Linked DNA regions of Yarrowia lipolytica. The protein of the gene in region 1 purifies or fractionates together with the protein of each later gene. This does not show direct contact. Links are inferred from orthologs where the notes say so. Each region holds a gene or a part of one and is shown on either strand. Other genes may lie near its edges.

Region 1 (6,824 bases):
TATATACCGCCGGTTCTGCAATAGGACAGGCAAACATTTGCACAACAAAATCTCTTGGGTATACGTCGTTAGCTTATATGAAGAGATGAAAGTAGTGCCCGTAGGAGTAGCAAGCGATACGACGATGTTCGTCTCCACTTGCATAAGTCTCCACAATTAGTCACGCCTGCACATTGCGGTAGCTCTGGAGCTACGAGAAAAGTACGAGTAGCTGCTTGCGAACCAAGACCAACGGACGGACGTTCATTTATGTCCGCTTAGACAAGCTGACGTCATGAAGCTAATGGGTGCACTTGGAGCAGAGCTACCATCAGGGATAGGGCATAAGGTATAGGGTCTTCAGATTGTTCTCGGAGGGGGGCATAGGTACAGGCTTTATGGAATGCGACCAACGGAGTCACGTTAGTGTGTTGAGAAGAAAGGGAAATAAAGAGTAGTTTTACAAAGAGATCTGTTTTACTAGTAGCCAATTGCGGTCCGCAGATTTCCCTTGTCTGCTGTTGTTGGTTACATACCGTATCCTTACATGGGCCTAGAGGTTCATCTCCAACCCCATGCCAAGGAGCACTTGCATTGTATGTGCTTTTTTTAAAAAAAAAGATGAGATTGGGTTAAGTGTGGAGATCTGCATTTAGCCGATTGCTATAGTCTACAAGTACAAGTAGCGCGACATCTTAGACAGGAAAGAAGCCAAGGCGAACGAAAAGGGATATGGACAAGAACCGACATGGAAACTATCAGATTAAACAAGCAGTCTCAACATGGCGCATCTATGATCTCAACGAATACATAGCTCCATACTTCATAGCAGGACATAACCTAGAAAAGTGCCATGGGGCGACTATACTCAAGACGCCGATGTCAAAAGAGTCGCCGTTTTACGTCAGTCTAGAAGGGTGGACATAATGATACCGCAACGACCGCCCACGTGTGTTCTATGTCGGCAGTAGTGCGGTGGCAATGAGCGCTTCAGCCTAACCGCACATAGCTCCACCAGGGTTCTGTACGACAAGCATGTAACGCGATGCCACGAGTAGAGGCGCTGGTGCCGATACTAGTTGTCGCTACTTGTAGTCTCCCTAGCGTCGGACTTTTTTGGCAGGACCACACTCATGTACTGTGGGTCCCATCTCAGCCTAGACCGTAAACAACCAAGAATCCAACAGACGAGCCGAGCAGTGCTTTTGTTCCACAAAATGGTAGAAATGGTACCAACCGGTGAAACTTTGGAGAAGCTAACGTCCTACAGAGTACAAGTACAAGTAATAGACAGGGTCTTGTGTTGTGGCTCTCCTTTTTGTAGTAAACACAAGACACAAGAAAAGCTACAAGTCTATAAGTTACCATGTTCGACTATCATAAAATGTTGCCAGGGTGCACACTAGACCCCGTGGTACATTCCACAGGAGAAGAGTTAAGACCCGAACTTTCCATATGCACCCCAGATCGAACTTGCCTCTAATTACTGTATGTACCCGTGCTCGTACTATTACAGTACATACTCGTATTCGTATACGAATTGTAAACTACACTCACGTCTATCTATAACATATCTATTACTACTCATAACTTGGTCTCTAAGCGCGCTTAAAGAGGCAGCTCAAAGGAGACGTTAACGTCAATCTCTCGGGCCATCTCAACAACCTTGGAGAGCTGGCAGACCTTCTGGGCAGCCTCATCAAGATCGCCAAAAGAGAAAATCTTGAGGCCAGAGTCGGAAATGAGCTTCTGGGCCTCGGCGAGGTTGGTTCCCTGGAGTCGGGCAACAATGGGAATGTTGAGGTTCATGTTCTGAGCAACAGCAATCAGACCCTTGGCAATGTTGTCACATCGGACAATACCACCGAAAATGTTGACGAAGATAGCAGTGACACCGGGCTCGGAAGTGATGAGCTCGAAGGCCTTCTTGATGGCGTCGGCAGTGGCTCCTCCACCACAGTCGAGGAAGTTGGCGGGCTCACCTCCGTACAGCTTGATGATATCCATGGTGGCCATAGCGAGACCAGCTCCGTTGACAAGACAGCCAATGTTTCCGTCGAGCTTGATGAAGTTAAGACCGTGCTTGGCAGCCTCAATCTCCTCGGGGTCCTCCTGGGTCAGATCTCTCCAGGACCAGACCTCCTCCTGTCGGAAAGAGGCGTTGTCGTCGAAGCCGAGCTTGGCGTCCATGGCAACCACTCGGTGGTCGGTGGTCTCAGACAAAGGGTTAATCTCGATCTGGGTGGCGTCCTTGTCGGTGAAGACCTTGTAGAGCTTCTTGATGTCGTCAGCAGCCTCCTGGGTGGCCTTGGAGGAGAAACCGAGGGCCTTGGCGACCTCAATGGCCTGGGTGTCGGTGACACCGGTGTGGATGTCAACGGGGAAGGTGTGGATGGCATCGGGGTTCTCGGCGGCAACACCCTCAATGTCCATACCTCCCTGGGAAGAAGCGACAATGATAGGCTTCTGGGTGGCTCGGTCCATGAGGATGGCAACGTAGGCCTCTCGTCGCACAAACTCTCGCTCCACAACGTAGACGGCAGTCACAGGCTTACCCTGGGGACCGGTCTGCTTGGTGAAGATCTTGTGGTTGAGCATCTGCTCGGCGTACATCTTGGCCTCGGTGGGGGAGGAGATGAGCTTGACACCGCCCTTGAGGCCGTTGTCGAAGTGGCCCTTACCTCGGCCACCGGTCAGAGCCTGAGCCTTGATGACCATATCCTCGCATCCAAGCTTCTTGGCAATATCCTCAGCCTGCTGGGGGGTAGTGGCGGCGCCTCCCTTGGGGACATCGATACCGTAGTTCTGGAGGATCTGGGCGGATCGGAACTCGTGGAGAGAGAGGTTTCGAGTCTGAGTCTTGGCGACCTGTGGTTAGTGAGATTAATTTCTTTTTTGGACAACGGGGAGATACGCAGTGTCAAGGGACGGCTCAAGAGAACCCCAGTCGATGGGGTCAATTGCCACTTCGATGAGAATGGCATTGCGCTTGTGTTGGTCCTGCCCATGCTCATTATCCCTCTGCACGCACGAATTTCATATTATGTGCATGCATGTGCATTTAGCCGAGGCGTTTTTCCGGACGACAATGAACAGGCCGTTGGAGATAACAAGACGAATGTGGCGAGGTGGTTTGCGACTCAATTGCCCATGATCCACAGATGTACGTTGCCGGTGTGTCGTTCACAAGACCCCAGCGTGGTTTCCGAGCGTCTGGACATGTGTAACCACAAACGCCGAAAAACGCGCACCGGAAAAACAGGACAATTGTCGGCGGAAACAGACACCGGTAGGAGCCATTGTGGCGGGCTGTGGCGCCAAATACTCACCTGATTAAGTCGAACAGCTCGAGATCGAGCAGCAATTCGCGAAAACATGTTGTGGGATGGTGTGTGGTTTGCTGGTAAGAGGAAAATGAAATCCACGAGCCTTTTACTTTTTGGTTGACAGCACCAACATGTACACAGTGTTGACTGCCGGGTAACAGCGGACGCTCTCTCAGAGTTAGTGTGTTGGGGGTTTTAGAGGCAACCAAACGTCCTACTTTGGCGGTCTAAAAGCCGCTGGAGGGACGGAGAGCTCCCAAGAATCGCCTTGGGGGCTATGAGTGGCCCACCAATGGTTTCTACTGTGTCCAGTTCGTCAATTGCGCTCTACACCCCCTCTAGACACGATTCTCTTTCATGCTTACCCCTCTTCCAAATGCACCCGCTCAGCTTAAGGTTATTCTGTTTTTACATGTGTGCCGAGTAAAGACCTTGTGAGGCCGAGCCAAGGGGACATGGTTTACTGGGAGATAGCGGCCGTCGCCGACAGTTTCCGAAATAGTGTGGGTCTAAGTCCGAGGGTCGTGACGAGGTCTGGAGGTCAATTGAGGCCGAATTGTTGGCCATTTGAACCGATAAAGCCATGCCATCTGCTCCAGTTGCCACACGGCGTGGTGGGTACCACCTGCCTCATACTGTAGCCCCTCACAGGTACGATAATAGCCATTATACTTGAGCCGTGGTGCGGGTGATGAGCCGTGGACATTTTTCGCTTATAGACTTTGGGCTTTAGAGTTGGATTGGGACGTCGAGGTTGAGGACAATTGAAGGAAGAGGAGGAGTCGAGGGAGTAAATGGGATGGTTCTGGTGGTTGCGGAGGTTTGGAATTCTGTATGAGCACCAATCCAGACTCTGAGATTATATTTATCTACTTTTTTTGTCCAAAACGACTTCCAAACCTCGCAAATCGCGCTCCGTTACCCTCCGAAGACACTACAAATTTGCGTCTCAAATTAAGCCCTCTGCAAACGGCGTGTCACGCTAATTACGCGCCTACTAGGCTGGAGACGGTGACCGTGATGAATGAAGGTGACCAAAAGTCCCACTTTAAGTGGTTCATGGCCGCCAGGTCACGTGGAAATCGTACATCTAGCTGACTAATCCAACCCTCCCGCCGCCGCTCCAATAATCACTCATCTCTCACTCATCAAACCCAATGCGCAGAGTTTCAACGTGTGTGCGTGGGCCTCCTTCCACTGGACAGCGGCGTTGCATCCTGGCACGGCTGTGAGTGGAAAGAACCGGAGGAGCTACGATATGTACGATACCACCACGGACAGGCACCGATCAGCAGAAAATTATAGCAGGAACAAAACGGGGAAAATATTCGTGACAGAATAATTGGAGGCCCCAAATTGACAATAGAAAAGCAACCGCAATGCGGACAGAACAATCCAACCAGCCCCAATGAGGCATAAGACGCTCTCAATACGGCCCACAACGCAAGATAGCTGTCACCCGCTTTTGAGACCGGGTACCTGTCAAGTCACAGGGTCTCTTGTTTTTCCGCATCGCAATTTCAAAAGGATCTAACGGATATCATAACCCAGTCAAGTCAGGTTTGCGGATACAGAGAATGTAGAAAGGTGGGTCAGTTGTGCTCGTGGTGTTTATACAACTCGTCACTTACTACCACATCAACTCCTAGAGAGACCTTCCACCACAACCCCCTCCGAACATGCTCCGCCCTGTTAGTCCGTACCGTAAATGTATCCCCGCTTTCTGCACACTCATCGTTGACCTGTGACAGCTGCCAGTGAAAATCCACTAAAACCTGTTAGTCTCCCGACTTTCTCCGAACTCAACTGTATCGTGGTACGGACCATTGAAACGACCGAGAGAAACGACAGCACGGTCTAATCACCGTAGCTAATGGCTCCGAGCTACCACTGGCAGCGACAATGGTGACACGGACTCGGATTAACTGGAAACTCTATCTACTCAACAGATGTGAGAAGAATGGAGGGTATGGCTGGTGGTGCTTGAGTTGGGGGGGGGCTGGGCGGGGTTGGGGTGTTCATGCTCCTTACAATGGGCTGAGTTGAGTTGTGGTGTTTGGTGTTGAGGTGAGGTAGCAGTATTTGTGCTTGCCAGGAGGATCTCAATGTTAGGTGTGGGTGTGTAAGGGTGAATCGACAGGTTATGAGTGGATGTGGTTTATGTATGGGCATGCCAAATGGGTTTGAACATGTCCAACTGCCATTTGCTCTCCATTATATTGCCATTACTGCTGTGTCTGGCGCCCGTCTGCACCAGTCCTAGGTGCGAGATCACAGCAGCAGCTCATTTACACCTCCATCACCGAGTTCATGCATGAGAACCTAATCAAGAAAAATATCACAGCGAGAACACTACATCAACACAACCACATTTGCATATCCATCATGTCCACGCTCAATGTCAACGAGGCAAAAGTACTTAACGCCAAGTTTGCGGTCTCCATTGACTCGGCCCAGAAGCTCGTGAGCGGCTGGATGAGCGACAGTGACGGTGACAGTGATCCCGGCGGCGCGGATGAAGATGCTCAGAAACTGCTGGTCAAGCAGCTGCAACCAGTGGCGTCTTGGGCTGGAGTTGGCTCCAAAATTGGCACGGCGCCTGGAGGAGGCCGCGTGACGAAGCCAGATACCTCCAAGATGTCTGCATCCATGAAGGCGCTGAGTAAGATGCACAGTAAAGGCAGCCAGGCCAATGCGGTGGCTACCGTGACTCCCGTGATGCGACAGGGTTACGTGGTAAAGAAACACGCTGATGACAAAAACAAGAAGGACGAGTCTGACTCGGACGAGGAGGATATCAAGAGCAGGTCGAAGAAGTCTGCCAAAACCACAGGCAACTTTCTGGACGAGTACAAGAAGACCAAGAAGAAGCGACGTTAGCCCAGACGGACGAAAGAGCTTAGAAAATTGCTTGTGGCCTGGCCTATTATTTAATTATTGCATGTATTATATTCTTTAAAGGTGCTGTGCCAAACACAATAGATAGCACCTCCAAAATACTTGTGCTATAACTGTATGTCAGTACACAAGGAACTAAACATACCAGACAAGTACTTGTAGTTAGTTAGCTCGAAATCGGCACTAATTGAACTCACTTGTAAGTGTTGCCGATTGGCGTGTCTGAAAGTGTCCCCGATTATCTCCAAAAACTATACCCCCCCACCGCCCAGAAGTGCTAGACCACAATCTCCTTGCGCACGCACTAGCACAGCAAACTGTATGCGTTCTGGTAAAGAAGCTAGATGTACCCTGTCTAGTCTCTCTGGGAGGTGTCTCCTGTGCGCAGCCACCGTGTCATGCTTACAAACAGATCAATGGGGTCTGGACCCGTCTGGACGCGGCAACTTTGGGTTCACAAGTTCCGAGTAGGAACGGCTTAAGTGCAGTAGTCTGCAGCCCGTTGGAAAAGTGGTCTGATTATTAAGAAATCTGGGAATTTTGGTTAGAGATTTGAAGGTGCATCGATCAAGTACGGTTAAGCAACACCTTACACGGCGGGGTGCACGAAAGAAAACTGAA
Region 2 (6,719 bases), on another chromosome or scaffold:
GTGAATATCGGGCCGGGAATTCCATACCAAATGCGAGCATTACGGATTTGAGGAAGGGCATGTGCTTTCAACGCGTATACATTAATTGCACCCCGCTATCGCCGGGGCACTAATACCAGTATTATCATAGATACCGCTCAAAATGGACTTAGAATCAGCAATAATGGGCCGATTAGGATGGAAAAAAATATACACAAAACACGAAAACATATAGAGAGCTTGATTATACAGGGGATAAAGTCCAGTTCATAGTTTCCCAGTGTTTCAAAATCACAAACATGTTACCCCCCCCCTACTGGTAGCTCGAACAAAGTTCGGCCCCGCGCAACGTCTGGTTTTATGACACCATTCAACAGGCTCAATTGGGGTCAGAATCGCTTGCAAATAATACAGAAATATTGTCAGAGCTGCAAAAAGTGGCTATTCAAATTGAACTTCACAACTGCAAAACACCGAACAAGATATATGGCCCGCCCCCATTCATCCCAAACTTCACCCCCCACCGCACCCCCACCGCACCCCCACCACATCTCATGAGCTTAATTTCTCCAATGTGAAATATATTTTACGATAATCACGAAAACACGAAATAATTCCAACGTGCTCATATAAATCGCACCATGAGTCACAAACACAAAAGATAGAATTTCTGCTGACTCAAACCTATCACCGGCGTTAAATTGGGTACAATTATACTCCAGAACTCTCTAAGCAACACAACACAAATTGCTATCGAAGTCATACCAAGCAAGTCCTGTGCACTGTAGGTAATCTCACTTTTAGGGCAAGTTGCGGTGCGAATGAGTCTTCTGAGTTGTTTAGTCGGCGACAGGAAATGCTTCACCAACTCTTCGTAAATGCGGTTGTTTGTATGATTTGCACATGGAGTAGATGTAGAAGGTAGAAGGGACGTATAGCTACCTGAAGTTTCTAACTAAAGTTTCAACAAATGCTAAAGTAACTCATTAGATTATACAACAGCACAACATGAGTGCGAGTACGATGTCTCCAGGATGGCCAATATCCCGTAGTCCTAAATGAACAGCTTACATTACATCCATTGGTATATACCACTTGTGCTGTAGATGGTTTTGGGAACAATGAATGGTTACCCAGCAGACCGATGCAGACCAGTGACCAGTGGACTTCCTATTTCAACTAACCACCCAACAAATTCTAACTAAACTAACAAGAGTTTAGTTGTGCATGATTTGAGGGTCTTGTTGAAGTGAAGCGGGACATATTACAGTAGTTTCAGTCAGCTACACTACTTTGTCCCTGATCACTATCTGAAAGGAGAGCTTTACAAGTGGTCAAAGTGGATTATAACAAAAAAAAGAGGACTGAGAGACCTCCATACATTCAACATATCACGATAGCCGACTCTCAAGAGCTGTGGAATACTTCATCGCCATTCCCCAATCCACCTCCATAGCTCCCTCAACCTCTCTTATTAGCCAATTGAGAAAGAGAATGTCGTTATTTTGAATTCTAATCAGAAAACAGACCATCATCTATCCAACAATAATTGATACATAATACGGCCATCTCCAAGGTAGGGTTCTCAAGTGTTGTGTCTAAAATACGAACAACAGCCTACTATCGCACTGGTACCCGTTTACTACAACTCAATGGCTTCTTCTGTGGAAGTGTTATGATCACTAGAGCAGACCGTTGCTACGTTCACTCTCGTCAGAGTGCTGGTTGGGCCACCACCCGCTCATCTAATAACATCTATCAATTAACTAACAGTCTAGAGCAGGTCTCGCTTGACAAACTCGTCGTAAAGAGTCTTACCGAGTCGGGCGGGAGAAGGCTCGACGGCAACACCAGCGGCCTCAAGAGCAGAGATCTTGGAGCCGGCACCACCCTTACCACCGGAGATGATGGCTCCAGCGTGGCCCATTCGTCGTCCGGGAGGAGCAGACACACCGGCAATGAAGGAGCAGACGGGCTTGGGGACCTCTCGGGTCTGGTTGTACTGCTTGAGGAAGTCAGCGGCCTCCTCCTCGGCGGTACCTCCAATCTCACCGATCATGATGATACCGTCGGTGTTCTCGTCCTCGAGGAAAACCTTGAGGCAGTCGATGAAGTTGGTACCGGCAAAGGGGTCACCTCCGATACCGACAACGAGAGACTGGCCGAGACCGACCTGGGTGGTCTGGTTGACGGCCTCGTAAGTAAGGGTTCCGGATCGGGACACAACACCGATTCGGCCTCGCTTGTGGATGGAAGAGGGCATGATACCGATCTTGCACTGGCCGGGAGCAATGATACCGGGGCAGTTGGGACCGACAAGTCGGGTCTTGGACTGGGTCTTGAGCATGTCGACCACTCGGATCATGTCGTGCTGGGGGATACCCTCAGTGATACAGACAACGAGGGGCAGCTCGGCCTCAATGGCCTCCTCGATAGAGGCGGCGGCAAGAGGAGGGGGGACGAAGATGGCGGAGGCGTCACATCCAGTCTCCTTCATGGCCTCGGCAACGGTGCCGAAGATGGGGAGACCGAGATGGCTCTGGCCGGCCTTCTTGGGGTTGGTTCCTCCAACGACCTTGGTGCCGTAGTCGATGGCCTGCTGGGCGTGGAAGGTTCCCTGCTTTCCGGTGAAGCCCTGGAAGAGCACCTTGGTGTTGGAGTTGATCTTCAGGTTGTTGACGGTATCAGCGTAGCTTCGGACGGGGGCAGAAGTGGAGAAGGATCTGTGTTAGTGGGGGGAAGGAGATGGTCTATTTTACAGCTCAATTGCTGGTCACATTCATACGGTGTTGTCTGTTTTGTTGCAATGTCGTCGCTCTGTCCTGCATGCACCGGATTATTCCGGAATATCAACAACCACATGCAGCCTCGGTTAATTTACCTGCAGACGGCACTGCTGAGGGGGCGACTGGCGACGGTGCACTCAACCCGTGGAGCTGTCATGGCCATTGCACCGCTCGCCGTCGAGGTCTGGAGACGCTGTCCCACGCGTGCAGTAGTGTCCGTGATTTTCCGACCACTCAAAGTTACGTCAAATTCCGGAATTAACAGCGCATGAGTAAAAAAAAGAGCCGTGGAAAGGCCAACGATAGAGGGCGCGATCAGAGTCCCCGACACGGCAATCCGGGCTTCTCGACGCTCGTACACGCTCAATTACCCACGTGGAGACATGTCTGGGTGGTTCTGTGACGGGTGCGGGCCCCCTCTTCTTTTCCGTCGAGTTTGCAGCACCTGTGTGGTGGAGTTGTGACCAAACGTGCACAGTTGACGACTGTGTGTTTGTGTGTGTTTGTGGATGTGGTGGCGCGCCCGTTCCAGTCGTCTTGTCTCTGGCAATTGCCCATTGCCCATTGCTCTACTCACCTGACACCCATACGGGTGGCTCGAATGGCGGAGTACATCTTGTGTGTTGTGTGGTTGGTAAGAGTGTGAAGTCCGTCTTCTTAGAAGGGTCTTCTTTAGTTCTCCAAGGTTGGAAACTTTACCTTTGGCTTTTTTTGCGTTGGGTGCGAGATTATACAGGACCGCACACACTCACACACACACACGCCCTGGGGGAGCGACCGACCACCACCGACTGCACCCGTGGTTCCTCCCAACGCTTAAACTCCAAACCTTGTCTTGGTCCAATGTAGGAGGAGAAGCCGAGCATGTTGGTAACCCTAGTCCACTGAGGGGTAGAAAGGGAGTGTTGGAGTGGACGAACAACGCGTGGGAAATAACATAACAAAAGGCAAAGGACAGTCCGCCACAGGCCAGACCCATATATATATATATATACACAACCAGACACCACATGGCACCACATGGCACCACATATTCTGTGTCGCAATCGGTATCAAGCTGGAAATCATTTGTCTCCGTAAACCGCCGCTCAACACCACATTGTAGTCACTCCGTTGAGCTCTACACTGACCCAAGCACCGGTAGCTCCCTATGGTCGTTGCCGATTCTTGGCCGCCGTGCATTTCATCTTATGCAAAACCTCCCCCAACCGAGGCAGGTCCAAAGTTAGAGAGGGGGCGTGCCTGGTGGTGAGTGCAAGAGTCGGGAGTATGTCGGCTCCGTCATGGTTCTGGGGAGATCGGGGGGTTTATATATTCGTGGATTGAGCACAAACACGACACCGCCACGACACCACCAACACCGACACCACCACAATTGTAGTCATGATTACTTTCAGCTCTGGGCCATCAGTTGTGACAGGACGCGTACACTCACTGTACCTTCAAGTATGGGTGAAATCGGAGCTGCAAAAATGATAGGCTTGAAAAATGCTGAAAAAATGGCTAAAAACCAGCTAACAGCTAGCGGTCCGACCACACAAACAGACAGGGGATGGGATGCACTACTGTCCATATACAGCACAGCACAGCACAGCAAAATACAACGGAAAAACGTCGGTTCAACATTTCAACAATCAATTCTGTCCCAAATAAAGCTCCCATTATAGTTGTGCCGCCGGACCAACCATGTTGCATACCTGACAAGTGCAAGAGATGCCGAACATAACTCGAGGTGGGGTAAGGCCCGAGAGCAGAGATGTGATGTGACATACACATAAATGGGCCACATGCCGTCTTCCAGGCAAAATTCCAGCCGTATTTGTGTCTACAAGACCCTTTTAACGGACCCAGAAGTTGGGTTGACAAAAGCTAAAATTATTTAATTAGAGTTGTGGTATTTGCCACCTGAAATATACACTGAAAAATATCGAAACAGTCTTAAAATCTCACCACCACACGTCTTGTCGAGTCGTGTGAATATACAATGTCTTTTTCCGACATCTCAACGCATGTCATGTATGTACTGTACACGCTTGTTGGCGCTCATGCACGCCGACATCTCATGAACGATACTCTTGCAGGTATGTCGGTTTTTCCGAAAATGACTTAGCCACACGAAAGTTCGAATCCCACCGATGACATTGTTTATGGCGTTTTTTAGCGTCCATGTTTTGGGTTTCCCTTCTGTAACCAAAACATGGAAGCAGCGAAAAATCAGGAAAATTCGTATCAATTTTGATAAAATAGTTGTCATTTCGGAAAAAGCGCCAGAAATGGAAGAAAAAACCAAATATATAACACGCGTATTTCTTCTCCTTCAAACCGTCGTTTCACTTCGTGTCAGATACTCTCCACTTTCTCTTCATCCCACATAAACTCTAGATGCATATAAAAAATCCATCTTTGGCTTACATCACCTACCAACTGTTCATTTTCGTCACTTGCACACCTTCAGAACACTGTCCAGCCACCATGAAGTGCCCCAGATGTGGATCGACATCGATCAAGCGAGACGGAAACGACTCGTCCTGTGCCAACTGTGGTGTTGTCGTTGACGACGCGCCTATTGTGTCCGAGGTGACCTTCGGAGAGTCGTCTTCTGGAGCTGCCGTGGTGCACGGTTCGTTTGTGGGAGCCGACCAGTCCGGTATCCGAAACAACAACTTCCACGGCGAGTCACGCGAGCTGACTTTACAGAAGGGCAAGAACCGAATCACAGCGCTCGCACACGCCATGGATATCCCCCAACATATCATTGAAAAGGCCCATCGGTATTTTGTTCTAGCCGTCACCAAGAACTTTGTCAAGGGCCGACGGTCACAATACGTGGTTTCGGCGTGTCTGTACGTTGCCTGCAGACGAGAACTGCGACATGAAATGCTTATTGATTTCGCAGACAAGCTATTTTGCAACGTGTTTGCTATCGGAACCACTTACCTGCAACTGCTCAAGACATTGGACATCAAGAACCTGCCACTGATCGACCCGAGCATCTACATTCAGCGGTTTGCGTCCAAGCTCGACTTTGACAACGCAAAAAACGTGCGAAACGACGCGGTTCGACTTGTTCAGCGTATGGGACGTGACTATCTGGTTGAGGGTCGTCGTCCTGCCGGTATCGCCGCCGCCGCATTGCTGCTAGCAGCTCGAATGAACAACCAGCGTCGGTCCAAGACGCAGATTGCATTTTACGCCAAGGTCGCGGAAGAAACGCTTCAACGACGTCTGGACGAGTTCAGACACACCGAGGCTGGTCGCCAGACCATCTCAGTGTTCCGAATGACCAACATCGAGTCGCAGTCGGACCCGCCCTCGTACCAGAAGCATCGAAAGCGGGAGCAGGAAGGTATTGAGGAGAAGGTTCAGGACGAGATTGACGCGGAGATGGAGGAGATGATGGCGCAGATGGTGGAGAAGAACGAAAACCCGGAGGAGCGGGCCAAGGAGGCGCTATTTCTGGAAGACACTCCGCAGGAAAAGGCAGAGAGAACCGTTCAGAACAGAGCCCAGTATATCATTGAATACGAGCGAGAACGGCGTCGAATGCTCAACGAGGAGGCTAACAATGCCGCCACAGAGGCACTTCTGGCCATGAAAACACCCCATGAGCAGATGATGGAGGATCAGCAGACAGCCGAGAAGGAAGGAGGCGACGCCAGACCTCCAGTGGTCGAGTCGTTATCGGATCTCGACGACGATCCCGAAATCGACTCCATTCTGCTCAACGACGAGGAGCGTAACATCAAGGAGGCCGTCTGGACCACCGTCAACATGGAGTACCTGCAGGAACAGGAAACCAAGTTGTTGAAGATCGAGGCCGACAAGGCCGCTGGAGTGTATAAGGAGCCCAAGAAGCGAAAGCGACAGAAGCAAAAGGATGGCGAGAAGCCTGCTCCTCCCAAGGACGCGGCCGAGAGTACTAAACAGATGGTGCAGCAGCGAGCTCCTTCAAAG

Evidence for each region.
Region 2: the proteins of YALI1_D05873g (region 1) and YALI1_E28575g purify together in Saccharomyces cerevisiae (affinity purification with mass spectrometry; 4 studies listed by BioGRID). This does not show direct contact. The link is inferred for Yarrowia lipolytica from reciprocal best matches to the Saccharomyces cerevisiae genes LSC2 and LSC1.

Annotation. Positions count from the first base shown.
Region 1 is NC_090773.1:584,536-591,359, forward strand, and holds YALI1_D05873g (uncharacterized protein), read right to left. Parts: upstream 3,357-6,824; coding exon 3,309-3,356; intron 2,848-3,308; coding exon 1,588-2,847; downstream 1-1,587. Other genes in the region: YALI1_D05892g (uncharacterized protein), read left to right, coding at 4,714-4,806, 4,857-5,066; YALI1_D05901g (uncharacterized protein), read left to right, coding at 5,616-6,185. UniProt on the Saccharomyces cerevisiae protein: Succinyl-CoA synthetase functions in the citric acid cycle (TCA), coupling the hydrolysis of succinyl-CoA to the synthesis of ATP and thus represents the only step of substrate-level phosphorylation in the TCA.
Region 2 is NC_090774.1:2,854,787-2,861,505, forward strand, and holds YALI1_E28575g (uncharacterized protein), read right to left. Parts: upstream 3,381-6,719; coding exon 3,343-3,380; intron 2,703-3,342; coding exon 1,754-2,702; downstream 1-1,753. Other genes in the region: YALI1_E28599g (uncharacterized protein), read left to right, coding at 5,148-6,719. UniProt on the Saccharomyces cerevisiae protein: Succinyl-CoA synthetase functions in the citric acid cycle (TCA), coupling the hydrolysis of succinyl-CoA to the synthesis of ATP and thus represents the only step of substrate-level phosphorylation in the TCA.